Linked DNA regions of Elephas maximus indicus. The protein of the gene in region 2 binds, or shares a complex with, the protein of the main gene of each other region. Links are inferred from orthologs where the notes say so. Each region holds a gene or a part of one and is shown on either strand. Other genes may lie near its edges. The genes, in order: RUVBL1, MEAF6, KAT5 and MORF4L2.

Region 1 (6,981 bases), on a different chromosome or scaffold from region 2:
AATGGCATACACTACTAGCTGGCCATCAGTAAACCATCCCAGAACACTGCACAGCAGATGGAAACGCTGCATATGAAGTTGAACCTATGACACAAGTTCCTTTCAAGTGCCTTTTGAATCTTGAAGAGTAAATTATTTTATCACTTAGTGTTAGTTCACTTTAAACATATTCTATAAATGGACTACCAATCATATATTTTACAATATTTGACTATAAAGGAGCAAAGGTAGGAAAGTCACATTCACAGGGTGGCTTCATGCTAAGGGGAAACCTGGTGGCATAATGGTTAAGAGTTACAGCTGTTAACCAAAAGGTCAGCAGTTTGAATCCACCAGGTGCTCCTTGGAATCTCTATGGGGCAGTTCTACTCTGCCCTGTAGGGTTGCTATAGGTCAGAATTGATTCGGCTCCAACAGGTTTGGTTTTTGGTTTTGTGCTAAGGACTACATGATACCAGGTTTCTCACACTGAATTCATAATATATGACTGGCTAGAAGGTTCATTTGCCTTGTCTGAGGGAAGGCCACAGTTCTCTCTGGGCAGTGACCACACATGTACTGTATTGACAGGGCCCAAGAACACATCCTTTCTTCTCTACCACTAGGTAGCTCCCTGGGATGGGGTCCACATCTTCTTGTCTCTTTCTTCCCTATGGCCTATGGAGAAGTACCTTGGTCCTCTCCAAAAATGTGTTCAAGGAATGTGTGTGGGTGTGCTATATTCCATTTCTGGCTCAGTTGGCAAGGCAGTGCCCTTAACAGAGCCTAGAAGCTCTTTTTCATATGCTGTATTTCTAAGACGATAAAAGAGCCACTATGGTCTGTTCACAGAATTCTGTGATATCATAATCCTCAGCATCAGAGCTCTTTGGGAAACTCAAAAAGACAGAAAAGGGAAAGACTTTCCAAATCCTGAGTATATACTACTCTTCTTTACAGACTAGATCCTCTTCCATTTAATCTTCCTTAGTTTAAGCTCCAGTTTCTCTCCAGTGAGACATGTTCAATGAACCTTAAAATTTAAAAAGAACTGGAAGAACCTCAAAATATCACCTGGTCTCATTTTTCAGATGTGGACATTGAGCACCAGGAAAGATGCTGATATGACCAGGTAGCTGAGAGAAGTCTTCAGATAACTACTAATTCAATAAATAAATACCGAGCCCCTATGAGCCAGGTTCTGGGTATGTAATAAATACTAGTCCTTACTGTCACAGTGGTATGATGCATCAGTGAAGAGCACGGATTCTGCAGTAAGGTAGACTTGTTTAAATCCTTGCTCTACCACTTACTAGTAGTGACCTCAGACAAGATAATTTACCTCTATGAACCACAATTTCCTTTTCTGAAAACGGAGTCCTTAATAGTTAATGGCATACAAGCTAAAAGATGTCCGCAACTTATTTGAAATACAAAGATGGATTGGTGGATGGACAGACGAACGGATGGGCAGATGTGTGAAAAAGCAATATAGTAAAATGCTAATTGTAAAATTCAGGCACATAGTATTCAATGTACAAATCGTCCAACTTTTTTGTCTGAAATTTTTCATAATAAAGTGGAGGGAAGGCAATTAATACTAGGTTTGAAGTGGTAAACAAGATAATGGAGATAAAACTGCTCAGCACAACGCCTGGCACATAGAAAGTACTCAACAAATGTTAGCTATTTGCAGTAGCAAGTCCTCAGTAAGCTGAAGCTGGATAAAGGCAAGTTTCAAAATCATCTTGACCGTGTCAGTGTTTGCTTTTTGGAAAGATGATGCTCAAAATGGAAACTAGAGGCTTTTCTTTGGCCCTTTTATAGCACAATCAGGCTGTGAAGCAAGCCTCTTAACCTCATATTTAAGTTCAGGTTCTTGTAGCTGCCAGGCCATGACAATGACCTTAGAGCAGGCAAGCTGAGACGAGGGCTGTGTGATCAGAGAGCACCGATTTGGGAGTCAGACATACATTCGGGTGCAATCTCAACTTTACCATTACTAAGCTGAGTGGCAAGTGGATAGGTGAAGTGACCTCTCCTGCCCTCAATTTTTCCATCTGCCAAAAAAGAAGAAAAAACAAAGGGCTCGAATAGTGTGTGATTACGAGCTAAGTGAAAGGTTTTGGCATCACAGCCACTTAATAAAAGTGGACTTAGTTATAATGGTCAAAGGAGATGCCTGGAGGGGCTTGCTTATAAACCAGATGGCTCCTCTCCATAACTTCCACTCCCTCCCTCAGCTCCCAGCCCTTAGGAACCTAAAGGGACTTTTTTAAGGAAAGTCACTTCCTCGCTTAAGAAAAATCCGTAGCCTCCAAGTGCATTCACAATAAAATCCAAATTCCTCACCATGGCCAACGAAGCTCTGAAGTAACTGACCTCTGCCTACCAAAATAATTTTTGCTTACTGGTTTATACGTTTATCGTCTTGTAAGCTCCACGGGAGCAGGAACGTTATCTATCTTGTTTCCAGGTGTATCCCAGGGTCACGAATGGAACCTGGCACGTATTAGGTGGCTCAATCAAATACGTGCTGCTTCAAAGGGTCGAATCTAACACTCAACAGTCCCCCTGTAGAGTTGTTACCGGTTCTACTGGGACCGTCCCTCTCCCAGCCCAGTGTCGTGCCCCTCTTGATTCGCGTAGCCTATACCCACAGCCCTTAACGCAAATATCGGGCGAGACCCTCAGCGCGCAGCCCAGCCCCTTAGGCGCCCCCCAAACCCTTGAGCTCCCCCAGCTCAACACCGTCTACTCCCCGGCTCGCGGACCACACCTCTCGCGCGTTTTCCTGGCCCACCAGTCCCGAGGCCGCCTGCTTGGCCAAGCCACTCTCGTCCAACCCCAGCCCCTTCACGTGGCTGTGGGAGGCGATGCGCTGCGTCTTCGTGGTACTTTTCACCTCCTCAATCTTCATCTTGCAGACTCGGGGAGTCGAAAAACAGCAGCGAGTACCACGCGCCAGGCGCTCGGGTTACCATGCGGCCGTTACTAGGGCGGTTCGCAAGCGCCCGCCTTGGTCGGCGCTCTACTGGAGGAGGTGGGATACACCTCTACTTCCCATTGGCTCATCAGGGCTGCCCGTGGGGCTCCGCCCATCCACTTCCGGCTGTGTCGCTGGATGCGTTCCCCGGCAGTCGGCGCTTCCTGCCCAGGCCAGGGGCGGGAGGTGCAAAGAACCCGGAGTTGGGTCCCGGATGCCAGTTCTAATCGTGTAACCCTATCACGGCGTACGGTAGTCGCTGGCGGTTTTCGGCTCCCGGCGTCGCAATTAAACGTCATACCTTTATGCGAGGCTCGTACCCGTTTTGGAGATAGAGAAATTGAGGCTCAGATTTTAAGCTTTAGTTTTTGGTTACTATCCAGTTTTCTGACACCTAATCCATGCTTGGAACCCCTGAGATGCACAAATGGTTAAGCGCTGGGCTTCTAACCAAAAGAGTAGCAATTGAGTCCACCCAGAGGCTCCTGGGAAGAAAGGCCTGGTTATCTGCTTCCTAAATATCCCACCAAAAAACAAACCCATTGCAGTTGAGTTATCACGACTCACAGCGACCCTATATTGAAAATCTAATGGGGCACAGTTCTACTCTGACATACTTGGGGTTACCATGAGTCAGAGTCTACTCAATGGCAACTGGTGTAATGCATACTTTACTTTGCATCTCTGTTCAGGATCATCTCCGTGAAATTGTCTCCCTCTGCTTCTGCTCACCTCCACCTCCCCCTTTATTCAAATTAAGTTGATGGTGAGTAACATTTTGCAGTTTGCAAAACTCTGCAGCCCTGCGATGTATCACCCCTAATACAGAAAAAGATTCAGGCTAAAAGAGCCCCAATAACTTGCCCGAGAACACAGCAAATAATTGGCAGAACTGGAACTCCAGCTGAGGATTTCAGAATTTCAACCTGTGCAATCCTCTTCCCACCCCGCTACTTCAGCCAGGACAATTGGTCAGGGAGAATGTCCTGTCAAATTCCGTAATGATATTAACACTACCTGCACCAGACATTCAACACCTTCAGTGAGCCAGACACTACAACGCACTGGGGATATAAAGACAAAATACAAGATCACACCCAAGGACTTTACTCCCTGCTTGGGAAGTGAGATGTGCTGGGACAGGTACAACTCAGGTGGTATGCAAACCCAGAGCAGGGGCTCCTGAACAGCCTGGAGACCCAGGGAAGTGCTGAATCCTGTAGAATGGGTAAGACTTCCTCAGAAGCAGATGGTATGCCATCATTTTACAGATGAGGAAACTGAGGTCCAGGAAAAGGGCAGCACTTCCCTGAGTTTAAGAGAGCTGTAGTCAAATTCAGCTGTAGCAGTCCCCAAATCTCACACCTCTTTGTACTTCTCCTTCATAATTTTCAAATCTAAGTTTGTAATTATTTGCATAATTATTGGGTCAATATTTGTCACTGCCACCAAACCTTAAGCATTATGAGAGTATAAACCACATTTGTGTGCCCATCATTTTACCCCAGTGCCTGGCATACAACCTGGCTTACAATCAAGGCTTTGAATGAATTCAAATAAAGTTCTAGCCTCCCTCTCCCCCTCCTATACACACACACACACACACACACACACACACACTTGAATTCATGCAATTTTGATGGATGTATTTTACAAACTTGGTTTTATGGCCCTTGGTAATGGTTTCTGCCAGCAAATGGGGTCTTCTGGCACTTTCAGAGCCTGAAACTGCAAAGGTGAGGCCTTGGAAGGCTGAGCTTGTCACTGTTGGCCTGTGATTCAGCAACCCTAAGGATATCACCCCAGAAAGCCCACAAAGATGCTTAGTGTCTAATTGCTGTACTCCTAGTCATTACCCTTAAGTGAGGACCAGTTCCTTTGGAGAAGGAAGTTTTCCCCTAAGCAGTAGTCAGAGTGAGGTACTCTGTGAGACTACTTCTTTGCATATTGTCCAGTTGGGGGAGAAGATCTTTTTACATTTATCCTTTTAAGCGCCAATTTTGTCTCTGCGTCAATAAGCAAAATGAAGGATTGTCTTTCAGTCAAATATTGGTGGAACTAAGGCTCAATTTTAGAGCTCAAAGGAATCCCTTGGACCACTGGTCCAGTGGGACCCCAGAGTTATAGAGTTCTTTCTCGGCTAGTACGGGAGGGGAAGGGGAAGACCGATAGTGCAGATAGCTCCATGCCCTCCTCCCCCTTCCACCAGAGCTTTTCCATCTATTTACTCCTAGACAACAAATTGAAAACCACTGATCTGGACTAGCATTCTCATTTTTGGACCCAAGAGAGGCCTGGGTTTGCCCCAAATCACAAGGCCTAGAACCCATATCTCTGCCTCCCAGTGTGAAAAGATCTAGACCTGGTTTCAGAGTTAGACCATTTATTTTCATTTCAACAGACGACCATGTGGCAGACCGGAGCCTAAGATACACAAGGTAAATGAATATGAAGAGCAGGTGAAGCCCACAGTAGTGGATACAGGTTACTTCTGCCTACCCAGCATCCATTACCTTGTGTTCTGGTCTCTGTACCCTAATTTTCTTTAGGAACCCCCCTCCCCAACTTTTTGTCCAAGGAGTTTGGGTAGGCTGATCCCAACCTGCCCCAGCTTCAGATGGGATACTATCAGAGTATCCCATCTCCCTGGCCCTATTCAGGAATGTGAGCTAGTGGTTCAATGACACTAAATCCCAGCACTCTTACTGGAAATATAAAAACATGTTCTCTTCTACACGGGTTTTCAGGCTAGTAGCTGTCTTTGCCAATTCACGGAGACACCCAACTTGAAAATGAAGACAAGAGAGAGGAAAGCAAAGCTGAGAGAAAGGGATTCCGGACAAAATCCTTTGCATCCCTGGATCCAGCCTTGCCTTACTTGCAGTGTAACACGGTACTTACTTTGGGGCCTAAGGTTGTTTGAGTTAGATTTCTGTCCAGTGCCACTGAAAATCCGGATGAGTGCAATGACACATATACAAGCAAGTGTGTGGACTATTACGTTCCAGAAATTGTGCCATGTGATAACCAATCCTGCCAGCTCTTTCATTCCCTTACTCCCATGACCCTTGCTCTTTGACTTCCAGTCCCTCAACCTCTATTTTCTCCAGTCCAAACTCCATCATTTCAATCCACTTCCCAACCCTTCTGCTCCCTCCTTGCCTTGACTTCTGCCACACCTGCCCTTTGAACTGTCAAGCATATGTCAAGTCTACCTCTGTCTTCTCCCTTCCTTGAGGGGGTTGCTGGGAATGGCTGGAGGAAATCACCCAGTGGCCCCCTGAAGTCATTACACAGTCATGGCTTCCGGCCTCAGCTGAGCCCTCAGAGCTGCCCAGGGTTGCGTTATTCAGGATATGAGTTCTGTTGCACTAACAGATCCAAAACAATAGCAGCTTAAACATAAACGTAAGGTTCAGGAAGGCCTTCCAGTTGATGTGCTGGCTCCACAATCATGAAGGACCTATACTCATTCTATCTTGTTGCTGCACCACTCCACACATGCCTTCCATCTCGTGATCCAAGATGGTTGTTCCAGCTTCCCCCAAAAGGCTGTATTTGGGCCAGAAAGAATGAGGAATGGGGGAAATGGAGGACTTGTTCCTTCCGTTTACCCTTGACCTTGAAGTTGCACCATCATATCTACTCATAGTCCATTGGCAGAACTTGATCAAATGGCTACAGCTAGATGCAAGGGAGGCTAGAAAATGCAGTCTTTATTTCAACTTGAGCCCAGCTAAAAATTCTAGTCCTATGTAAAAGGGGAAAAAGTAGATTGGGAGACAATTTCTAGTCTCCACCCTAAGCTGCTTCTAAGTGCCAGGCACTGCTGAACTTTCCTTGTATCCTGTCTCAAAGGCAGGTATGACCTTCCTCCTGGCCAAAGTAACCCTACTAACTGGGTTCCAGACGACAACCTGGAACTTCCTCCACCTCTCAGAGGCCTACCTCCACCTATTACCTTCTTTTTCCTGTATTTTCATACATTTTCCCTGATCATTCCCCGTAGGATATAA
Region 2 (7,428 bases):
CAGTTCAAATCCAGCAGCTGCTCCCTGGAAACCCTACGGGGCAGCTCTACTCCGTCCTATAGGGTCACTATGAGTCGGAATCGACTCTACTGCAAGGGATTTGCCTTTTTTTTTTTTTAAACAAGAGGTACACAACATCACCTATATGCAGCATTTTTGCCAAGAATGTTTATGAGTTTCTCATGAGATCACAGTAACAAAAATCCTGAAGGTGGGGCATTCTACAAGACAATGTCATCAAACAAAAACCAAGGGTTAGAGACTCTCCTAAATTAAAACAGACTAAATAGACACAATGACCAAATGGAATGACTAAACACTGACTGGATTCAGGATCTAAACAAAGTAACAATGCATTCGGGGGATGATTGGAAATTTAAATAAAGACGGTGTATGACACTATTAACATAATGTTAATTTTCTAGGTGAGGTAATTGCAGCCAGGTAGGAGAAACAGTCTTAGTCTTAGGCAGTACATGCTGACATACTTATGGGCAAAATACCATGACATCTGTACTGAACTTTCAAATGGTTTAGGAAATAAACAGTGTACGGGGGAGGGAGTGGGTATGATGATAAAGAGGGAGTATGAGGGAGATCTCTGTGGTGATGGAATAGTTCTGTATCTTGATTGTGCTGGTGGTTACACGAATCTACAGAACTATACACACACATTATATCAATGTCAGTTTCTGGTCTTGATATTATAATGTAGCTGCATAAGATGTAACTGCTGGGGGAAACTGGGTGAAGGTACACCAGACCATCCTCTACCATCTTGAAACTTCCTGTGAATCTCCAATTATTTCAAAATAAAAAAAGTTGTTTTAAATTATGTATAGATATGTATTTCAAGCCCTGGTGGCACAGTGGTTAAGAGCTCGACTGCTAACCAAAAGGTCCGCAGTTCTAATCTACTAGCCACTCCTTAGAAACCCTATGGGGCAGTTCTACTCTGTCCTACAGGGTCACTATGAGTCAGAATCAGCTCAATGGGTTTGGCGTTTTGGTACTGGTATGTGTTTATATATGTTACAAAGAGAGAAAAAGCCAATGTGGCAACATGCTAGAATGTAGGTGGAGGGTAGCCAGTGCTTATGTACTATTCTGTCAACTTTTCTATAGATTTGAAAATTTTCGAAAAGTTGGGAAATTTTTAAATAATAATATTATTACATAAATAGTGGTACAGTGTGCACCCAGGTATGGCAAAAGCTGTGAAGGTGGAACTCATGACTGATTAAAACGTGGAAAACACTATTCCCCATGTTGTATTTCATTTACACTGCACACAACCCTGTGCCATAGGCTGGCTTTCTCTGTTTTACAGATGTAGAATCTGTCCAAGGTTACTCAGTGAGGCAGTGAGGCTGAGCCAGAGTTCAAGTCCTGATCTCCTGCCCACAAAGCTACTACCAAGAAACATATAGTCCTAAAAACAAATATTACTAGGGCACATTACAGAACACTACAGCTGCTGACACTCACTTCTGGTTGGTCAGATACCGATCCCAGCCACGAATAATATTGCCATACATCTGAGTGTCTTCCAGGTAGCTTCCTTCAAAAGCATAGATCTGTCTTTCCAAGTTTGCCAGTGTTTCCTGGTAGATGAAAAACAGGGAAATGGATAATGCCTTTTAAAAGCACGCATTAAGTCTGACCAAACCGAAATTTTGATATGAGACTTATAAACCTAAGCTCAACTACAGTAAAACACCCTTGTGGAGAGAAAGAGGATAATGGCAGGGGCAGATTGTTACGGTCTAAGGCAGTCTTGACCTTTTGGGGTAATGGACCACACTGAGAAGAGAATGGAATATACAGACTCTGTCCCCAGAAAAATGCATATACATGCTTAATTCTGCATATACATTAAAGGGTTCATGGAACCCCAGGTGTGAAAAACCCCCGCTGAAGCAGAACATGGGCAGTCTCCTCTCTCAGGCACAAAAGGTATCACCAGAGAGAAGGATGGCTGAAGAGCCTTCTAGCGCCAACGCCTCCCCTCCCCGCAGGCTCTGAAAGGCCGCCAGCCCACTAGGCTGCCAGGACTAGGCTGCCGGTTGCTATGGAAACCTGGAAGGGCAGCTGCAGGTGAGATGAGCCTCCCCCATGCCCAATCCAAAACGCGGGGAGGAGTGTCTTATCCACCAAGGCTCAGGGGACCCTGGATGAATATCACAACTCCCAATTCCCTAGCCGGAGTCTCCCCTCATCTGTCACCTTCCAAACGTTCCCAAACAAACCAAACCCTTGCCCATCAAAAATCCCATCCAACAGATCTACTCCTAGTCCCCAAAAGGTCACACCCCCTATCATCGTCCTAAGGCCAGACTGGGTGTCCTTCCCACATGTGCCTCGTACCCTATCCCCCTCAAAGCCCACGGACAAGCCCGAACCAACCACTCAACAGCCCACCGGCACGCCCGCCCCCCGCTCCTCAAACATCAAGGGGACGCCCGCCCCCCTCGCCCCTCCAAGGGCCACGGACACACCGCGTTCACCCCCAGAGCTCACCGACACTCGCCTTTTCTCGAGTCCCACGCACCCTCCCCCAGCCCCGGCCGCTTCCTTCTTCCACGCCCCCCTCCTTCCTCTTCCCCCTCCCCCTCCCCGGCTTCCGCGCCCCGCCCCCGGGCCCCGAGGCCCGGCCCCGGCGCCCAGCTCCGGACCCGCGCAACCGGGAAATGGAGCCGCCGCAGGCCGCGGAATGCGCAGCTGGGTCCCAGGTCCCGGGACTCGTCCCGCCGCGCTGCGTCCCCGGAGTAACGGCCTGGCGCGGCTGGCCTGGGACCCGGAGGCGGGGGCAGGCGCGAAGCCTCAACCTGGGCGCTCCCGGCCCTAGTCCCTCACCGCCAGCTCCTGCTTCCGCTTCACCAGCTCGGCCAGCTCCCGCCGGGTGTCCGGGATCTGCGGCGGCGCCGCCTTGTTGTGCATCGCCATGTTGGGCAGAGGCGGGCGGCGGCGGCGGCAGCGGCGGCGGCGGCGGCGGCGGCGGGAGGCTGGGGGCGGTCCCTGCGCGCCGCGGCCGGCCCGCGAGGGGGCGCCCGCCGCTGCACTGCGCCTGCGCGCGCGGCTTCCGGAGCCGCGCGCCACGGCGCCGGGTGCTCTGGCCCTGGGGTGCTCTGGCCCTTTGGCGCTCGCAAACCCAGCTTGGAAGGGTCCAGGGGTCCGGGCTTCTTCTGGTCGTTCTCCTAGCCGCAGCTCTACCCGTCAGTTGACAACTGGGGTTTAGAGATACCACAAGGTGACTACGTCCCAAGCCAAACTTAAGTCTGCTCCAGTGTTCCTCACCTTAGTGAATGATTTTCACTCTCCTTCCTGTTGCCAGAATTGGAAACCGGGGTATCATCCTTCCCTTTACCCCCTAATCTGATCCAAAAACCAAGCCCTGTGGACCCTGGAAGAGCTCCCAAATCCACTCACATGTCTATCGCCTCTGCTACCTCCCCATTTCATCCAGGCCCTCCCTATTTTTGACTACATTTTTCCAATAGCCTCCTTACTTCCACTCTTAGCTTCCTTCAATCCATTGTCCACAGTGAGGCCAGGGTGATCTTTCAAAATGGAATCCGATGTCATTCTTGTGGTTAAAATCTTTCAATGGCTGCCCTGTTACCCTTTTAGAGAAACAAGTATTATGTAGGGAGCACAAACTGGAGCCAGAACTACCTGGTTGAAAATCTTACCTGTCCACTCATAAGCTGTGCCACCTCTGGCAGGTAACTAAATTTCACTGTCTCAGCATCCTCATCTGTAAAATGGAGGTAGTAATAGAACATACATAATACAGTACACCACTCATCTGTCAGTGTGTCCTACTGTGGTGGCTTGCTTGTTGCCGTGATGCTGAAAGCTATGCCACTGATATTCAAATACCAGCAGGGTCACCCATGGTGGACAGGTTTCAGCACAGGTTCCAGACTAAGACAGACTAGAAAGAAGGACTTGGCAATCTACTTCTAAAAAAAAACTTTGCCAGTGAAAACCTTATGAATGGGCAAAACATTGTCTGATACAGTGCTGGAAGATGAGCCCCTCAGGTCAGAAGGTACTCAAAATACAACTGGGAAGGTTGCCTCCTCAAAGTAGAGTAAACCTTAATGACCTGGACAGAGTAAAGCTTTCCGGACTTTCATTTGGTGATGTGGCATGACTCAAAGAAGAAACAGCTGCAAACATCCATTAGTAATCGGAACATGAAATGTATGAAGTATGAATCCAGGAAAATTAAAAGTTGTCAGAAATGAAATGGAATGCTTGATGACAGATATCCTAGGGATTGGTGAGCTGAAATGGACTGGTATTGATTATTTGGAATCAGGCAGTCATATGCTCTGCTATGCCAGGAATGACAAATTGAAGCACAGCTTTGCATTCATAATAAAAAAAAAAATTCAAGATCTGTCCTAAAGTACAATGCTGTCAGTGATAGGATAATATCATATGCCTTCAAGAAAGACTAGTTAATATGACTATTACTCAAATTTACACACCAACCATTAATGCCAAAGATGAAAAAATTGAGAATTTTTTCCAACTTCAGCAGTCTGAAATTGATCAAACATACAATCAAGATGCATTGTTACTCATGATTGGAATGTCAAAGTTGGAAACAGAAGGATCAGTAGCTGGAAAATAGGATCTTGGTGATAGAAATGACGCTGGAGATTGCATGATAGAATTTTGCAAGACCAATGACCTATTCATTGGAAATACCTTTTTTCAATAACATAAACAGCAACTATACACCTGGACCTCGCTGTATGAAATACACAGGAATCAAGTCAGCAACATCTGTGGAAAGAGACAATGGGAAATCTCAATATTATCAGTCATAATGAGGACAGGGGCTGATTGCAGAACAGACCATCAATTGCTCATAAACGAGTTCAGTTGAAGCTGAAGAAAATTAAAACAGGTTCATGAAAGCCAAATCCAACCTTGAGGATATCCCACCCAAATTTATAGACCATATCAAGAATAAATTTGAAGCATTGAACACTAATGATCAAAGACCAGACGAATTTGGGATGACATAAAGGACACATGAAGAAAGCAAAAGGTCATTAGAAAGAAAAAATCAAAATGGATGTCAGAAGAGACTCTGAAACTTGCTGTTGAACATCGAGTAGCTAAAGCAAATGGAAGAAATGATGAAGTAAAAGAGCTGAAAAGATTTCTAAGTATTATAATAAAAATGCAAAGACCTGGAGTTAGAAAACCAAAAGGGAAGAACATGCTTGGCACTTCTCAAGCTGAAAGAACTGAAGGAAAAACTGAAGCCTCAAGTTGCTATATTGAAGGATTCTATGGGCAAAATACTGAACAAAACAGGAAGCAGCGAAAGAAGATGGAAGGAATACACAGAGTCACTGTACCAAAAAGCACTGGTTGACATTCAACCATTTCAGGAGGTAGCATATGATCAAGAACCAATGGTATTGAAGGAAGAAGTTCAAGCTGCGCTGAAAGCATTGGTGAAAAACAAGGATCTGGGAACTGACAGAATACAAATTGAGATATTTCACCAAACGGATGCAACGCTGGAAGCACTTGTCTATGCCAAGAAATTTGGAAGACAGCTACCTGGCCAACCAACAGGAAGAGATCCATATTTGTCCCATTGCAAAGAAATGTAATCCAGCAGAATGCATAAATTATCGAACAGTATCATTAATATTACACGCAAGTAAAATTTTGCTGAAGATGATTAAAAAATGGATGCAGCAGTGTATTTACAGGCCGGATTCAGAAGAGGAGGTAAAACAAAAGATGTTGCTGATGTCAGATGGATCTTGGCTGAAAGCAGAGAATACCTGTGTTTTATTCACTATGTCAAGGCATTCAACTGTGTGGATCCTAACCAATTATGGATAACATTGCGAAGAATGGGAATTCCAGAACACTTAATTGTGCACATGCAGAACCTGAACATAGACTAAGAGGCAGTCGTTCAAACAGAATGAGGGGATTCTGCATAGTTCAAAATCAGGAAGGCTGCATGTCAGGGTTGTATCCTTTCATGATATTATTCAACCTGTATGCTGAGCAAATAATCTGAGAAGTATATGAACTATACTGGATTGGATTGGAAGAAGACTTATTAACAACCTGTAATATGCAGAGGACACAACCTTGCGTGCTGAAAGTGAAGGGGACTTAAGCACCTACTGATGAAGATCAAAGACTACAGCCTTCAGTATGGATTACGCTTCCACATAAAGAAAACAAAAATCCTCACAACTGGACCAATAAACAACATCATGACAAACGGAGAAAATATTGAATTTGTCAAGGACTTCATTTTACTTGGATCTACAATCAACACCCATGGAAGGGGCAGTCAAGAAATCAAACAATGATTGTTCACAATAGCAAAAAGATGGAAACAACCTAAGTGCCCGTCAGCAGATGAATGGATAGAATTATGGCACATACACACAATAGAGTACTGTGCAACAATAAAGAACAATGATGAATCTACAAAACATCTCACAACATAGATGAATCTGGAGGGCATTATACTGAGTGAAATAAGTCAATCACAAAAGGACAAATACTGTATGAGGCTGCTATTATAAAGACTCATGAAAAGGTTTACACACAGAAAGAAATGATCTTTATTACTAGGAAGGGAGCCCTGAGGTGGGAAAAACACTAACTAGACAATTAAAAAAATCAAACCCGTTGTAATCGAGTAGATTCCAACTCATAACTACCCTATAGGACAGAGTAGAACTACCCCATAGAGTTTCCAAGAGACACCTGGAGAATTTGAACTGCTGACCTTTTGGTTAACACCCATAGCACTTAACCACCATGCCACCAGGGTTTCCAAAACTAGACAATAGATGAGTGGTAACTTTGGTAGCGGGTAAGACAGTACACAATTCTGGGGAAGTCAGCACAACTTGACCAAAGCAAGGTCTTGGAACCTTCATAGACACATCCAAATCCCCTGAGGGACCAAATTACTGGGCTGAGGGCTGGGGACCACAGTCTTGGGGAACATCAAGCTCAATTGGCATAACAAAGTTTTTAAAGAAAATGTTCTACATTCTACTTTGGTGAGTACCGTCTGGGGTCTTAAAAGCTTGTGAGCAGCCATCTAAGATACTCCACTGGTCTCATCCCATCAGGAGCAAAGGAGAATGAAGAAAACCAAAGACAGAAGGGACCATAACTACCACAGCCTCCACCAGACTGAGTCCAACACAACTAGGTGATGCCCGGCTGCCACCACCGACTGCTCTAGCAGGGATCACAATAGAGGGTCCTGGACAGAGCTGGAGAAAAAAGTAGAACAAAATTCTGACTCACAAGAAAAGACCGGATTTACTGGTCTGACAGAGACTGGAGAAACCCTGAGAATATGGCCCCCAGACACTTTTTGCTCAGTACTAAAGTCACTCCTGAAGGTCA
Region 3 (7,413 bases), on a different chromosome or scaffold from region 2:
TGTTTTATGGGCCTAATATTTGGCTGAAGGATGAACCTCAGGCGCGACTTTGGTACTGAGCTAAAAGGGTATCGGGGGCCATACTCTCACGGTTTCTCCAGTCTCTGTCAGACCAGTAAGTGTGTTCTTTTTTTGTGAGCTTGAATTTTGTTCTACATGTTTCTCCATCTCTGTCCAAGACCCTCTATTGTGATCCATGTCAGAGCAGTCAGTGGCAACAGCCAGGCACCATCTCATTGTGCTGGACTCAGTCTGGTGGAGGCTGTGGTAGTTGTGGCCCATTAGGCCTTTGGACCAATCTTTCTCTTGTGTCTTTAGTTTTGTTCATTCTCCCTTGCTCCGGACGGGGTGGGACCACTGGAGTATCTTAGATGGCCGCTCACAAGCTTTTAAGACCACAGACGCTACTCGCCAAAGTAGAATGTAGAACATTTTCTTTATAACGGACATGCCTTTTAGACCTCCTGAGTGGGCAGCGAGAGTCTGGAGTTCAGGAGAGGTCTGGGTTGTAAATAAAAATTTGAGAAGCCTCAGCCCATGGGTGATATTTAGGCATGAACTTGGGGATCACCAAAGAAGTGAATATGGATAAAAAGATGAAGTCCAGGGCTAAAACTGGCACATGTGAACTGTCTTGACCAGCTTATACACAGTACAAACTGTTGTGGAATTTCCCAAAAGGGAAATTTTAAATGATTGGTTGTCATTCACTTAGCCGGTAGGAGGCAGTTTGACTTGCTTTATTAAGTATTCACGTATGCTATGGCCTAACGAATGAAACTGTCTTTATCACAAGTTTTTAGTTTCAGTGAATGGCTAAGAGTTAAGTTGAGACAGGTAGGGGGAGCATTTTCTTTAACAGAATGTTTAGAGGTCAGAGACAGGAAGAGAATCCAGTAAGACGATGAGCAGCCGGGGAACTAGGAAGGAAATGAGGACGGTCCGGCGTCTGGAAGCCAAGAAAAGAGTGTTTCAAGGGAGAGGAGTGACCAATGATGTCCAATGTCACTAATAAGTAGACTGAGGAACGGCCATCGGATTGAGAGTGTGGAGGTCAACATGGAGTGGCAGCAACTGAAACTGTGTTTACCGCATACGTAGTGTGCACAGACATTTCCTGACCGTTATCAGCCAGTGAAAAATCAATTTCAACAGTCTTCTGCTTGGTATCCTGTTCTTGTCTTAGCCCCTCCAATCCAAGGACACAGCCACCAGGGTGGTCTTTCTAGAATGCAGATATAGTCATTCCCCATTAACATCTTCAATGTAAGTCAGGCCGGGGTGAATACATGGAAACTCGCAAGTATACAGATGCTCACTCTTTGCAGTGTTGTAGTAGCAGGAAATTGGACACAACTTGAATGTCCAACAACAGGAAATTGGTTATGGCAGCTAAGGTGTTTCTAAATGAGGAAACATTATATGGCCATTAAAATACTAGAGAATATTTAATGACAAGCATTCAATTTATATTGCTGAGTGAACAAGCTGATCGCAGAACAGTATACGTGGTAAGAATCTATTTCGTGTCAAACAGATATAAGCACAATAATCTAAAACAGGTTGGCAAACATTTTTTTGTGTAAAGGGATGTGTGGTGGTGTTACAAGAGCTTGTTGTCGTGTTGCTGTTTTTGGTAAATGCTAGGTAGCTAACATTTTAGGCTTTGTGTGCCTTACTATCTCAAACGCAACTACTCAGTTGTAGCACAAAAGAAGTCAGAGGCAAAATGTAAACAAATGAGTGTGACTGAGTTCCAGTAAGACAATTTACGGACACTGAAATTTGAAATTCATGTAATTTTCACGTGTGACAAAATAGCCTTCACTTTTCCCCCCATTTAAAAACGTAAAAACTATTCTTAACTCCTGGTTTGTAGTGGATTGGATTTGTCATAGTTTGCCAACCCCTTGTCTAGTAGATATTCAACCAAAACGCTCACTGTGAGCAAGGTTACAGTACCCACTCCCCCACCCCCACCTCTTACTATGTCTGTTTTTTTTATTAAGTTTGCACACATTCTATAGGCTAGTTATGACTTACCTAATTATTTAAACTTTCCCCAAAACTGCCTTTATCACAAGTTTCCAGTTTCAGTGACGGTCTGAGAGTTAAGTTTAAATAGGCGGGGAGGGCAGCATTTTCTTTAACAGAATGTTTAGAGGTCACAGACAGGAACTTAACCCAATAAAGACGATGAGCAGCCAGGGAACTACGAAGGAAACGAGGAGAGTCTGGCGTTCTGGAAGCCAAGAAAAGAGTGTTTCAAGGGAGACAAGTGACCAATGATGTCCAATGTCATCTTTCCCCCCAAGTATACGCATGACTCACCCTCTTGTTCCTTTAAATCTCTGCTCAAATAATACACTCCAGCCAGGCCTCCCCTGCACATCGTATTTTAAATTGTAACCTGCCTACCTGTATCCTACCCATGTATCCTGCTCATTGATTTTGCTTCCCATAGCACGCTAAATTTGCTTTTCTAACTATGTGTATCATTTACTATCTATACCACTCTTTTCCCTCTCAGTCCCCAAGAAGGTAAGCTCCATGAGGGCAGGATCTTTATTTTGTTCACTGATGTATTCCAAGTTCCGAGAATAGTGCCTAGCACATGGCAGGGCTCACTTAGTATTTGCTGGATGTATAAAAGGATTGAAAAAAAAAAACAACAACACAACCGGCTGCTGTCAAATGAATTCTGACTCACAGTGACTCTACAGGACAAAGTAGAACTGCCCCATAGTTCCCAAGGAATGCCTGGTGGGTTCGAACAGCTGACCTTTTCGTTAGCACCCGTAGCACTTAACCACTATGCTACCACGGTTTCCATGAAAGGGTAATAGATGTATTATTTAAAAAATCAGAACCTAATAGACAAAATCAAAGCAAAATTTTACTTGTGTGTGATATTAATGATATTGTTCGATAATTTCCACCTTCTGTTTGATCACCATTCTTTGGAGTGGGCACAAATATGGATCTCTTCCAGTCAGGTGGCCAGGTAGCTGTCTTCCAAATTTCTTGGCATGTATGAGCGCGCACTTCCAGCACTGCATCCTTCTGTTAGAACATCTCAATTGGTATTCTGTCAATTCCTGGAGCCTTCGCCAATGCCTTCAGGCAGCCTGGACTACTTTTTTCAGTACCATCAGTTCTTGACCATTTGCTACCTTCTGAAATGGCTGAACATCAACCAATTCTTTTGGGTATAGTGACTCTGTATGCTTCTTCCAACTTTTTTGATGCTTCCTGCACCATTCAATATATTTCCCATAGAATCCTTCAATATTGCAACTCAAGGCTTGAATTCTTTCCTTCAGTTCTTTCAGCTTAAGAAATGCTGAGCATATTCTTCCCTTTTGATTTTCTAACTTGAGGTCTTTGCACACTTCATTATAATACTTTCCTTTGTCTTCTCCAGCCTCCCTTTAAAATCTTCTGTTCAGCTATTCATTTCTTCCATTTGCTTTAGCTGCTCTATGTTCAAGTTTCAGAGTCTCTTCTGACATCCATTTTGGTCTTCTTCCTTTCCTTTTTAATGACCTCTTGCTTTCTTCATGCTGCAAAAAGACCTCTTTAAAGTGTTAAAAAGATGCCAGTTTAAGGATTAAGGTGTGCCTGGCCCAAGCCGTAGTGGTTAAGTGCTACGGCTGCTAACCAAAGGGTCAGCAGTTCGAATCTGCCTAGGCGCTCCTTGGAAACTCTATGGGGCAGTTCTACCCTGTCCTATAGGGTCGCTATGAGTCACAGTCGACTCCAAGACACTGGGTAAGTATGACCCAAGCCATATTTTCAATCACCTCACAGGCATGCATAAAGCTGGACAATGAATAAGGAAGATCAAAGAAGAATTGATGCCTTTAAATTATGGTGTTCGTGAAGAATTAAACATACTATGGACTGCCAAAAAATAATGTCTTGATAGCACAGCGAAAATGATTCTTAGAAGGGAGGATAGCGAGGCTTCATTTCACATACTTTGGATGTGTTATCAGGAGGGACCAGTCCCTGAAGAAGGACACCATGCTTAGTAGACGGTCAGCAAAAGACAGGAAGACCCCGAGCAAGATGGACCGACACACTCGCTGCAACCATGGGTTCAAGCATATTAAACTTGGCCCGGTATTCGGGCCCTGCAGAGTTTGAGCCCCACCCACTCATCCAGCCTCCCAAAGTACGTATTATTCTGTCCTGCAGGCCCGCCCCGCCGCACCGACCCCGCCCCCCACCGAGCACGCGCAGTTCACTCTCCGCGACTTCTCCTGCTGCCACCAGGAGACGCCCGTGCACGGCCACAGGTAAAAGCTCAAAACACTCGTCCCACGTGACCCGCGCCTCATCCACATGACCAGCGTCGCACCCGGTGGGCGTCACGTGACGGACTCAGTTTTCCTCCAATCATTGGGCACGGGATGGAGAGGCCACCCAGGAGCCGGCCCGAGGCTTAGAAAGCCCCTTTCTCCAGCCAGCTGAACGGGCCGGCTCCCTGCTTCCAGCCGGGCGGTAGCATCCCTCAAGGATCTCGCTTCTCAGGTGGCTTCGCGGAGCCCGGGCCTGCAGCTCCCTCAGCCCCGGAAGTGACGCCGCCCAGAGGAGCCGGAAGTGGCAGTGGAGGGAGGGAAGATGGCGGAGGTGGTGAGTCCGGTGCCTGGGGCGGGGCGGAGGGAGCCAGGGGAGGTGGGTAGGGCCCGAGGCCCCCCAGTAGCCGACCCTGGCGCCGCGCTGTCTCCCCAGGGGGAGATAATCGAGGGCTGCCGCCTGCCCGTTCTGCGGCGGAACCAGGACAACGAGGATGAGTGGCGTGAGTGACGTCGGGAGGCGGGGCTAAACAACCTGAGGGCGAGGGGCGGGTCGGATCAACCGAACCCCCGGGAGGGGGAGGGGCCACTGGAATCTTGGGGCGGGCGGGGCGCAGGCACTCCGAAGGAGGGGCGTGGCGTGTAGCTGCTTGAGATGGACGGGGCGGGGCTTGGAGAAGGGGTGCCATTTGGAGACTAAAGGGGACTTGGGTGGGAGCTTCCAAGTGCTGGGACTAGGGGATCCGGGCTGGGGGTGGAGTTCAGGTCGTGGCAGGGTGGAGCTTCGTGGCCGGGCCCTCTAAGGCTCCTGCCTGTGCTATTCCCGCAGCCCTGGCCGAGATCCTCAGCGTGAAGGACATCAGTGGCCGGAAGCTTTTTTATGTTCACTACATTGACTGTGAGTTCTGGGACCGGGTGAGGTGGGGCTGCGGGTAGGGCTGGGGAGCAGCCTCTGGCATCCCTTCCTGAGCCATCCCCATTGCTGCAGTCAACAAACGTCTGGATGAATGGGTGACCCACGAGCGGCTGGACTTAAAGAAGATCCAGTTTCCCAAGAAAGAGGCCAAGACCCCCACCAAGAACGGGCTTCCTGGGTCCCGCCCCGGCTCTCCAGAGAGAGAGGTGGTGAGTAGGTCACCTGCTTCTCCTCTTCTCTCCTGCCTCCTACTGCTCTTGTCTCTTGGCCTCAGGGGCTCCTGGATGGGCAGGAGGCAGTAAGCCTCTCACCCTGGCTTCAGCCTGCAAAGGACGGGGCCACATTGCAGTCATAGCTTCCAGAATCCAGTGGCTATTTCTATGCCCTTGAGAGGGCAGAGGGTGGGGTTTGATCACTTGGTGCTGAGGGCCCCCTCCTCCCCTGCCCCATTCCACCACCATGGCAACCCAGAGGAAGACCCTGGACCTATTTCTACAGCCGGCCTCCGCCCAGGCCAGCGGGAAGACCTTGCCAATCCCGGTCCAGATCACACTCCGCTTCAACCTGCCCAAGGAGCGGGAGGCCATCCCCGGTGGCGAGCCCGACCAGCCGCTCTCCTCCAGCTCCTGCCTGCAGCCCAATCACCGCTCTACGGTACCCTCAGCAATTCCAGGGACCTTGCTTTACTCTCAGGTCCCACGTTCTCTACCTTCTGACCCACCTTTCTTGGTTTCTCTCTGCAGAAACGGAAGGTGGAGGTGGTTTCACCAGCAACTCCGGTGCCCAGCGAGACAGCCCCAGCCTCAGTTTTTCCCCAGGTGAGTACCCCAAACTATCCCTTTTTCCTTTTCTCTCTTTTATCGTTTGGTAGCCCTTTTAAGGTTATGTCACATTCGGCTCTTCTATTCCTACTGTTTCATTTGCAGAATGGATCAGCCCGTAGGGCAGTGGCCGCTCAGCCAGGACGGAAGCGGAAATCAAATTGTTTGGGCACTGATGAGGTGGGTCTGGGGAGCAGAGGAAGAGGAAAGCTAGGGGTAAGGGAGGGCATGTGGGCAGGGGGAGTTTAGTGCCTAGTTTAAAAAGAAACAAGGGAGGGCTAGGTGGCAGTGGTGTCTGATATCTGCAGCCAGGTGTAGAGCATGTTTCAGACCAGTCATTTGGTGATTTCAGGGTCTCAGTTTCTTCGTTTGGAAAGTGGGATTATAGTACTTTTTTATAGTGTTGCTGTGGAAGCTGTAGTGTCCTGCTTGAGTCATCTCTCGTAACCTGGTGTTTTCTACTGGCCCTGGGCAGGACTCCCAGGACAGCTCAGATGGAATTCCATCGGCACCACGCATGACTGGTAGCCTGGTGTCCGACCGGAGTCACGACGACATAGTCACCCGGATGAAAAACATCGAGTGCATTGAGCTGGGCCGGCACCGCCTCAAGCCGTGGTACTTCTCCCCGTACCCACAAGAGCTCACCACGTTGCCTGTCCTCTATCTCTGCGAGTTCTGCCTCAAGTATGGCCGGAGTCTCAAGTGTCTGCAGCGTCACTTGGTATGAGGGGCCCCAGGAGGCTGCTCTCCCAGCACCTCGTCCTGCCCCCACTCCTGCTTCTGACCCTCCTTTCTTCCCCAGACCAAGTGCGACCTGCGACACCCCCCAGGCAACGAGATTTACCGCAAGGGCACCATCTCCTTTTTTGAGATTGATGGCCGCAAGAATAAGGTCAGCAACTGAGGAGCAGTGGGGTGTCCTTGGAGCTGGTGGCCTGGGACACAGGAAGTTGAGCAGTTTCTTCCTGCTTAGGAAAACACTCACCAGTCTGGCCAACATGTTGGTTCAGCCCATTTTTATTGAGTACTAGTAGTGCTGGGATGTACTAGGATGACCAGAAACTAGACAGTCTCTGCTGAGACCCCGTGGCCCATGGGAAAGTCCTGCCAATGGCCTGTGACATCCCAGAGTGACAAGTGTCATGAGTCCAAGGGTGGGTTACCAGGACCCTAAGGAGGTAGTCCACAAAGCTTCACAGTGGTGATCTTTGACGTGAGAGGATTCTGAGCAGTGAGATGCTGAAAGGCAGGCCTGCTGTACAAGGATGGTGTGTGTGAAAAGCTGAAAGGCAGGGAAGATAGGAAGGTGCAAGGCTCTTAGAAGGGACAGAGTTTAGGTGGTGGAAACAAGGTCAGTAGGGGTAGCAGGGGC
Region 4 (7,974 bases), on a different chromosome or scaffold from region 2:
ATCTTGTTTGAGGACTGAGGCCAGGAGAAGGGAAGCACTTACCCAAGATTCTGTAATGAGGGATGGTTCTGTAATCAGGATCAGATCTTCTGATCCTTACTGTGCAACTAACTTAGCTTTTCTGATGATGACCTAGAAGGTCAAAGAAGGGGACAGGAAAGGACATAAAATAAAAAGATATCAGACCACGGTTTTCTTTTCCATCAATCAATGCATTTTATCACACACAAAGAACACCAAAGCTGATAAATATGCACAAATATTTTTTTCTTTCTTGTGGTTATATTTTCAAATCATGTACATTTAACCTATTTTTTAAACAAACTAATATTTAAAAACCATTTTATGAAGGAAAAAAAATCAAATGGACAAAAATTTAGATAGAATAGTATCACCAACCCACACGAATCTATCACCCAGCTTCAATTACCAACTGAAGGCCATCTTGTTTCATCTATAACCCCACCCACTGCCCCCCCTCCAATTTTTTAAGCACCAAATAGCTGATTTTTTATATTTCATTATGGAACATTTCAAACATACACTAAGATAGACAGAGTAATAACAGTCAGCTTAAACGATTTTTAACTTCAGGCCAATTTTGTTTTATCTACAGCCCTCTCCGCTCTCCCCTTCGCAGAAATTATTTTGAAGCAAATCCTAGTCGTCAACGTATTTCGAAGCCAATCCCAGACATTATATTATTTAATCTGTGAATATTTTAGTCGATATCGCTACAAGGTAGAAAATTTAAAACCATAACCACAGTATCATTATAACGCCTAAAAAATGATATAAATTTCTTAAAAGCCATAAAACATCGAGTCGGTGATCAAATTTTCCCTATGTATCTTAAACAACGTTTTACAGTTGTGTTCAAATCAGAAACCAAACAAGGCCTACTCATCGCATGTGGTTGATCTCCAGCTCGCTCTCGTTTTCAATCTTTTTTTTTTTTTACTTTTCAATTTGGAAAATTTCAATCCTATTCCGAAGCAAATCTCGGCGTATTGTTTCATCGATAACAATTACGCCTCTTACATCTCTAATTTCTTCGAGGGAAGTTGATGGGCAGGGAAGGCACTATAATGAGCGAATTTACATAATACATATTTTCTCATTCTGTTATGTGAGGCTTTATCTCCATAGTAATAATAATATCTACAAGAGCCAGGCTTCGTATTGAGCGCCTTATACGCACTATCATACTTAACCCTCGTACACGTCTCTGAGGTAGATACTATTATTATCACCATTTTACAAACATGGAAACCGAGATACAGAAAGAATCGGAGCCTTGCCCGAGCTGGGCGTTGGCGAGCAGGAATTTGAACCAGCTCTGACCGATTGTAAAGCCAGTAGCTGATTCTGTCTGTATATGTGTATATATATACCTTATACATACACAGGATAAAGGGAAATCACCAACCCTTCCTCCCCACCCCCACCCCGAAACCTGAAACGAGAATCCAGCTCTTCCCAACAGCCGACGTGTGATCACTGCCGTTCCTCCAACCGCCATAGTAAAGCCAGGTTTCTCTGGCAACTGATATCCATAGGCAGACACGTCATCCTAAAGGCGGGCTTATGCCCTTCAGCCAATCACATTCGTCTTGTCTAAGTTTTAGAATGTTCTATAACCAAATGATTGGACGAGGACTACCACGTAAGCAGTGACACTTAGCCGCAGTAAAGGCGGGTGCTAGTAACCTGCTTCTTCACGGTTAAGGCTCGGAGCAAACCAATCACCTTCCTTCTTTACTGTGAGCTGCAGCCAATCACATTCGCCCTCTTAGGTTCTTAGCCCACCCTCCAAAAGCGCGACAGCCTTTGGGTCATAAGTCTATAGAGCACAGTGTTCACGTGGCCTATTTTCACGACCCAGAGTTCCCTTGACCAGAAGGTTTTTTTTTTTTCTTTAGAGAGGCATTATGGGTCCCCCCCGCCACACTGGGAAAGGAAGTGTCTACGTGGCCTGCGGAAACGGGACGGCGGAAATGAGCTAAGGTTCCCGCCGGTGGGGAAGCGCGAGGTCAAACCTGGGGCCACGCCCCCCAACCTCTTGCGCAACTCGGGGGGGGGAGGCGGGGGTGTTTTTAATATGCGTGTGAGTGGAGGCGGCGGGTGGCTCGGGCGCGTGTCGTTGGGGCCTGTGTGTGTGCGCGCGCGCGCAGGCGAGCTCGCGTGGCCTGGGGGTGTGCGCCAGCCTGCGCCCTTAGCTTTGGGGCACGGTGTGTGTCCCTGAGTGGGGTTGGTGTGAGTGTGTGTGTGTTTACCTATAGGTGAGCTGCACTATGTTAAATTTAGGTAATAAGTGTGTGGGTGTTTATTATAGCAATTGTTCTCTACTTTTGTATGTTTGAAAATTGTTCTAAAAAAAAGGAAAATAAGTCAAGCGGATAATAACAAAGGGCCTCTGTTATATGAAGTATTTTGGTTTCTCCTATTGACTCAATTTTAGACCCTTCCACGTTTTGCTCGGTGCCAAAATCCTGCTCTAAATCACATCTCCCCATTGCACAAGAGCCAAACCCTCCCGTTCCTCTATTAGCAACTCCAAGGGGCAGCTCCTTTCATATTCCCCAATATCCTCCTCCCATCCCCGCCCGCCCTTCCCCCTACCTTCCCCCGCCTCCCGCCCATCCCTCGACTCTTCTCTCCCTTCCCCCCCTTCGCGCCCTTTCCCCCTCTCCATTGTGTCCCCCGTCCCTTTTCCCCCCTTCTCAGGACAGCTCCCTGCTCCCTGCCCCTCTCTCCCATTCCCACCCCTTTCTCCCTGCCCGCCCCCTAGCCCCGCTCGTCCCCAAAGTTGCACGCAATTCCCCTAGTACAAATATAATTTTCTGCTGGGATAATCAATATACGACTGCCTCTCCCTTCACGAAGGACCGTAAATTTCTGTGGCGGCTGAGGAACTCTTACCTTTTTGTCCTGACCACCAAGCACAGTGCCCTTCAAGCGAGTACACACACAATTAATTTTCCAGAAAGTTCTCTGGATGAGGTTTATACCTCTCAAGTCGGCCACTAGATGTCGCCAAATCCTAGCAAAGGATTGGCTATTTGGTCCCTGGAATTATGGGATTTTGTCCTCCCGTGTTTCTGATTTGCTGAACTCTCCAATCTCCAGTGAGTATATCTTTCTTTCGTTTCTAGGGGGAAAATGAAGCCAACCTCTGTAAATGGCCCTAATAGGCAGGGGACCATGGCCCAAGATCCAAATGCTTTTCTTGTTTCTTTCCTTCTTACCTCATCCCTTAAAATTTTTTTTTCCTTCCTCATTCCTCTGTCTTCTTTCTTCCATGCCTTCTTTTTTTAGGGAAGTGATGAATGATACTAGGCACTGATGCTGATGAAGATTCTACCCTTTCTGTTCACCTTCTTCTCAAATGTTAACAACCCCCCAAAACAGTACACAGAGGGCTGTTTAGTCCGTAAAGATAGATTAAAAACTCTGAGGTAAAACTTGGATCTGGCATTGAAAACTGATCTTTTCTCATGACAATTTTATCACACGTGTGTATGTGCAGTGGTACTGCTAAACTTTATTATGTCTTTGGAGCCAGAGACCTTTTAATCTCTATGTCACCACTTTATAGCCCTGTGACTCTGGGCAAATGATTTATGTTCTGTGATTCTCAGTTTTTTGCATGCTTTCTATATTTTAGATGCGGTGTTGACCTCACATGGATATTCTCATTTATTCCTCATAAAATCCCTTTTAGGTGGGTACTACAAAATCAAAATCCAACAACAAAAATCATTCCTCTTTGAGTTATCAATCATATATACATTATGTGTGTATGTCGGTCCGGGGTCGTTTAGAGCAGTGGTTCTCAAAGTATGTTTCCTGAACTAGCAGCTTTAGCATCACCTGGGAAGTTGTTAGAAATTCGGATTGTCAGGCCCCACTCAGCCCTGTTGTCTGCCGTTGAGTCGATTCTGACCCATAGAGAACCTTTAAGACAGAACTGCCCCCATAGCGTTTACCAGGCTGAAATCTTTACAGGAGCAGATAGCCAGGTCTTTTCTACCGCAGAACTGCTGGTGGGTTCAAACCACCGACCTTTTGGTTAGCAGCCAATCACTCAACCACTGAGCCACCAGGCCTCCTCACTTCAAACCTACAGAATCAAAAATTCTTGGGGTGGGGCCTGGCAATCTGTATTATTAGAAGCTGTCCAGGTTATTCAGATGCACACTAAAATTTGAGAACCAGCGCTTTGGAGGGCAGAAATGCAATGCTTATTTTGCACATACCACTAGAGGGTGCTACAGAATTTAACGCAAGATAATAAACAATTAATTTTTTTATGCTTATTGAGACACTCTGGATTAGGAACTAATGTGTAAAAAAAAAAACCCAGTGCCGTCAGGAGGTGTCAAATTATTTCCCCAAGTGCACAAACAGATATGGGAACCAGGATTTGAACTGTATCTGCCTCTCAATCCTAGCCCTTAACATTATTGTTCAATTTATAGCTTGTCTCTGGGCCTCAAAACACATTACAAATACTTTCTCTCTTCCTTACTTTGGCTAATGTTAACTAGAGAGACAAGGAAGGGCAGGGAAGCAGATCAATTAAATGGAGATATTTTGATGATTTTATACCCTTCTCCATCTCCATTCTATAATTGGATATCACATAAAAGCTCATGAGTGTTTCCCTTCTTGCTTTTGTATTTCCCAAATGCTCTGTCTACCCTGAAGTTGTTTCTTTTTTAGTTTATGTCTGAATCTCTTCCATGTGTAAGGGAGGAATCATAGTGCTGAGGGAATAAAAGTTCTCGAAAGCCTAGTATGGACCCCACTATATAGATCTATACCCATTAATTTCAACAAGAGGTCTGTCATCATTTTATAGATGATGACAGTGAGTTCCAGATATTTTTTTACTCAGTCATACAATTTGTAAATGGTGGAACCTAGATAATACTAGGTATATCTAACCTTATTACCCTACTAAGCTTTCTACTCCTACGTTTTGAATCTGGTTTAATTACTTAATACTTAAGTGACTTTCAACAAGTTCTTTAACTTTTCTGAGTCTCAGTTTTACCATAGATTAAATGGTAAAAAATATTCGTGCTTCATAATCTTTGTTGTTGTTGTCGAGTCAATTCCGACTCATGGCGACCCCATGTGTGCAGACTAGAACTGCTGCGTAGGGTTTTCAAGGCTGTGATCTTTCGGAAGCAGATCTCCAGGCCTGTCTTCCAAGGCATCTCTGAGTGGGTTTGAACAGCCAACCTTTTGGATAGAAGTCAAGCGCTTAAATGTTTATGTCCCCCAGGGAGCTGTACTATCCAGTGTTGTAGCCGCTAGCTACATGTGGCTACTTAAATTTACATGAATTAGCTAAAAACTTTAGTTCCTCAGTCACAGTAGCCAATGGCTGTATTAGACAGTGCAGATATACAACATTCCCACCATCATAGAAAGTTCTATTGGATAGCACTGATTTAGAGAATATAAAGTATGTAAAAGGGACTAAGGAGACCTGGTGGGGTCACAGTTAAGTGCTCAGCTGCTAACCGAAAGGTTGGCGGTATGAACCGACCCAGCAGCTCCACAGGAGAAAAGACTTAGCGATCTGGTCTGGTAAAGATAAAAAAAAAACAAACGGGTTGCTGTCTAGTTGATTCCAATTCATAGTGACAGCCTAGGAAACCTTATGAGTCAGTTCTACTCTGTCACATGGGGTCATTATGAGTTGAAAATGACTGGGCAGCAGCTAACGACAACAACAAAAACCAAAACCCATTGCTGTCGAGTCAATTCCGACTCATAGCGACCCTATAGGACAGAGTAGAACTGCCCCACAGGGTTTCCAAGGAGCGCCTGGTGGATTTGAACTGCCGACCTTTTGGTTAGCAGCCATAGCACTTAACCACTGTGCCACAAGGGTTTCCTCAACAACAAAAGGGCCTAGCACAGTGCACTCCTCATGGCAAGTGCCCAAGAAAAGTGATTTCCTCTGCTTTTTTCTTTCGGAGGTGTTAGGGGTGTTCTGTTTTATTAAGGTGGTCAGCTGAGAGGAGTAACTTCCCCAAAGTACTATAACAGGATGTGTCTGGCACCAGGGCCCACATCTCCTGACTCTTGCTCCAGTAGGTCTGTCTAGCAGACCCATCTTTATGCTTTACTGGGAGAAGTTTCAAGGCCAAGAGTGTGAATGACATGAGTTAACTTTGGAGTCAGGGTGGTAGCAGAGAAGGGCATGGGAACTGAATGCCTCCTACGTGCCAGGCAGCACTAGGCTCAGCTCTTGATATCTGTTATCTTAGTGAATCCTAACTGAAGCCCAGAGAAGTTAAATACTTACCTGAAGTTGCTCAGATAGTAAATGACAAAGATTCAGATTTCTCTGTCTGACTTTAAACCTACCCACCCAGTGCCATAAAGTCAATTTCAACTTATAGCAACCCTATAGAACAGAGTAGAACTGCCCCATAGGGTTTCCAAGGCTACAATCTTTACCAAAGCAGACTGCCACATCTTCCTCCTGCAGAGCGGGTGGCTGAGTGCTTAACCACTGGGCAACCAGGGCTCCTTCATCTGACTCCAAAGCCCATGCTTTCCCCATTATGCCATGTTACCCTCTCAAAAGTGAATACAATCCGGCACCCTCCACTTACTTGTAGGAAAAAGCTTCAGCAGATTCCCGATTCTTAGTAGATCCTCGGAAGATAGAACTTACTCTTCTTCCTTTTGAATTTACAGCTGAACAACTGTCTTCACAGTCCCTTTCAACTGGAAAGGAAAGATAGCTTTGGTTAATGTTTGTTTGGCTCCAAGGCCCAAGGCCAGACAGAGCTATTTATGGTCTCAGCCTTCACAGGACACTCAATGGCTCCAAGCACCCTGTGTTTATCTTCAAGGCCACCATTAGCTCATACAATACCTTTGTGCTAGTTAGAACCATGTGCCTGCCTCCTGGCTCCAGATAAATTGCAAAAAGGTATCCACTCCAGTGAAATACTTTAAAAAATGCTTTTCTTTCTCTGCGATGTTGCAGTCTTCACCAAAGGATGAATTTCTGCCCCAACTTGTGCTCTCTCAGTTGGACACCCTTGTGTAGTGTGCAGCCTGCCCATCAGTATCTGCTGGCCTTGCTTGTCTTGCCTAGAGAGCCTTCCAAGGTCTGGAAGGCAGTGTTGATCTGTTCTGGAGGGTGGGGAGGAATGCCAGTGTCCTGTTACGGATTGAATTGTGTCCCCCAACCCCAAATATGTGTGGGAATCCTAACCCCTATACCTCTGGATGTAATCCCATTTGGGAATAGGGTTTTCTTTGTTATGTTCATGAGACCATATCAGTGTAGGGCTTGTCTTAAACCTAATGAGTTTTGAGGTATATAAAGAGCAGGTTAGACACAGAAGCAAGCAAGCATAAAGTGGGGATGACAGAAACACATGCGAGGATCTCCAAGGAACCTAGGAACACGGGGCTTATGGAAGCTGAGACAAATATCTTCCCCGAGCCAACAGAGAGAGAGACAACCTTCCCCTAGAGCCGGTGCCCTGAATTCAGACTTCTAGCCTCTTAAATTGTGAAGAAATAAATTTCTGTTATAGCCGCACTAGATAACTAACACACGTCGCATGGCTGTGGGTAGGAGAGAAATGTCCATTCTAAAGGTTAATTCGATATATATATTCTCTCATTTGGTTCTGACTAGCTTATTAGATGATTTTAAAAAGAATGTTTGGTCAACTTAAAAGTCAAAAACAAAACCTAATACTTTAAGGCTAAGCAAAATGGTATTTCTTTACTAAGGATTTTTTTGTTTATCTGTTTATACCTGCCTCATTCCAAAGGGATTTCATAAAACCAGTTCAGCAAATTTGTCTGGATCAGACTGGTTTGCTAGCCCAAGGCAGATAGAACAAAAGATGAGAATAGTCACGAGGAAGCTTTATCCTTTTAGGGGTATCTGTTCTTTTCTAGCTCTTCTCTCCTTTTGTAACAGAA

The links.
Region 1: MEAF6 (region 2) and RUVBL1 share a complex: the UniProt entries of both Homo sapiens proteins name them as parts of the nuA4 histone acetyltransferase complex. The link is inferred for Elephas maximus indicus from reciprocal best matches to the Homo sapiens genes MEAF6 and RUVBL1.
Region 3: MEAF6 (region 2) and KAT5 share a complex: the UniProt entries of both Homo sapiens proteins name them as parts of the nuA4 histone acetyltransferase complex. The link is inferred for Elephas maximus indicus from reciprocal best matches to the Homo sapiens genes MEAF6 and KAT5.
Region 4: MEAF6 (region 2) and MORF4L2 share a complex: the UniProt entries of both Homo sapiens proteins name them as parts of the nuA4 histone acetyltransferase complex. The link is inferred for Elephas maximus indicus from reciprocal best matches to the Homo sapiens genes MEAF6 and MORF4L2.

The regions. Positions count from the first base shown.
Region 1 is NC_064838.1:42,481,007-42,487,987, reverse strand, and holds the start of RUVBL1 (ruvB-like 1), read right to left. Parts: upstream 3,002-6,981; 5' UTR 2,900-3,001; coding exon 2,759-2,899; intron 1-2,758. UniProt on the Homo sapiens protein: Possesses single-stranded DNA-stimulated ATPase and ATP-dependent DNA helicase (3' to 5') activity; hexamerization is thought to be critical for ATP hydrolysis and adjacent subunits in the ring-like structure contribute to the ATPase activity.
Region 2 is NC_064821.1:79,102,325-79,109,752, forward strand, and holds the start of MEAF6 (chromatin modification-related protein MEAF6), read right to left. Parts: upstream 3,009-7,428; 5' UTR 2,947-3,008; coding exon 2,857-2,946; intron 1,605-2,856; coding exon 1,489-1,604; intron 1-1,488.
Region 3 is NC_064825.1:128,857,518-128,864,930, forward strand, and holds the start of KAT5 (histone acetyltransferase KAT5), read left to right. Parts: upstream 1-4,397; 5' UTR 4,398-4,626; coding exon 4,627-4,804; intron 4,805-5,130; coding exon 5,131-5,199; intron 5,200-5,289; coding exon 5,290-5,426; intron 5,427-5,715; coding exon 5,716-5,871; intron 5,872-5,960; coding exon 5,961-6,035; intron 6,036-6,143; coding exon 6,144-6,218; intron 6,219-6,513; coding exon 6,514-6,762; intron 6,763-6,843; coding exon 6,844-6,933; intron 6,934-7,413. UniProt on the Homo sapiens protein: Catalytic subunit of the NuA4 histone acetyltransferase complex, a multiprotein complex involved in transcriptional activation of select genes principally by acetylation of nucleosomal histones H2A and H4.
Region 4 is NC_064846.1:54,508,338-54,516,311, reverse strand, and holds the start of MORF4L2 (mortality factor 4-like protein 2), read right to left. Parts: upstream 3,014-7,974; 5' UTR 2,923-3,013; intron 2,033-2,922; exon of another isoform or gene 1,839-2,032; intron 1,622-1,838; exon of another isoform or gene 1,457-1,621; intron 133-1,456; 5' UTR 43-132; intron 1-42. UniProt on the Homo sapiens protein: Component of the NuA4 histone acetyltransferase complex which is involved in transcriptional activation of select genes principally by acetylation of nucleosomal histone H4 and H2A.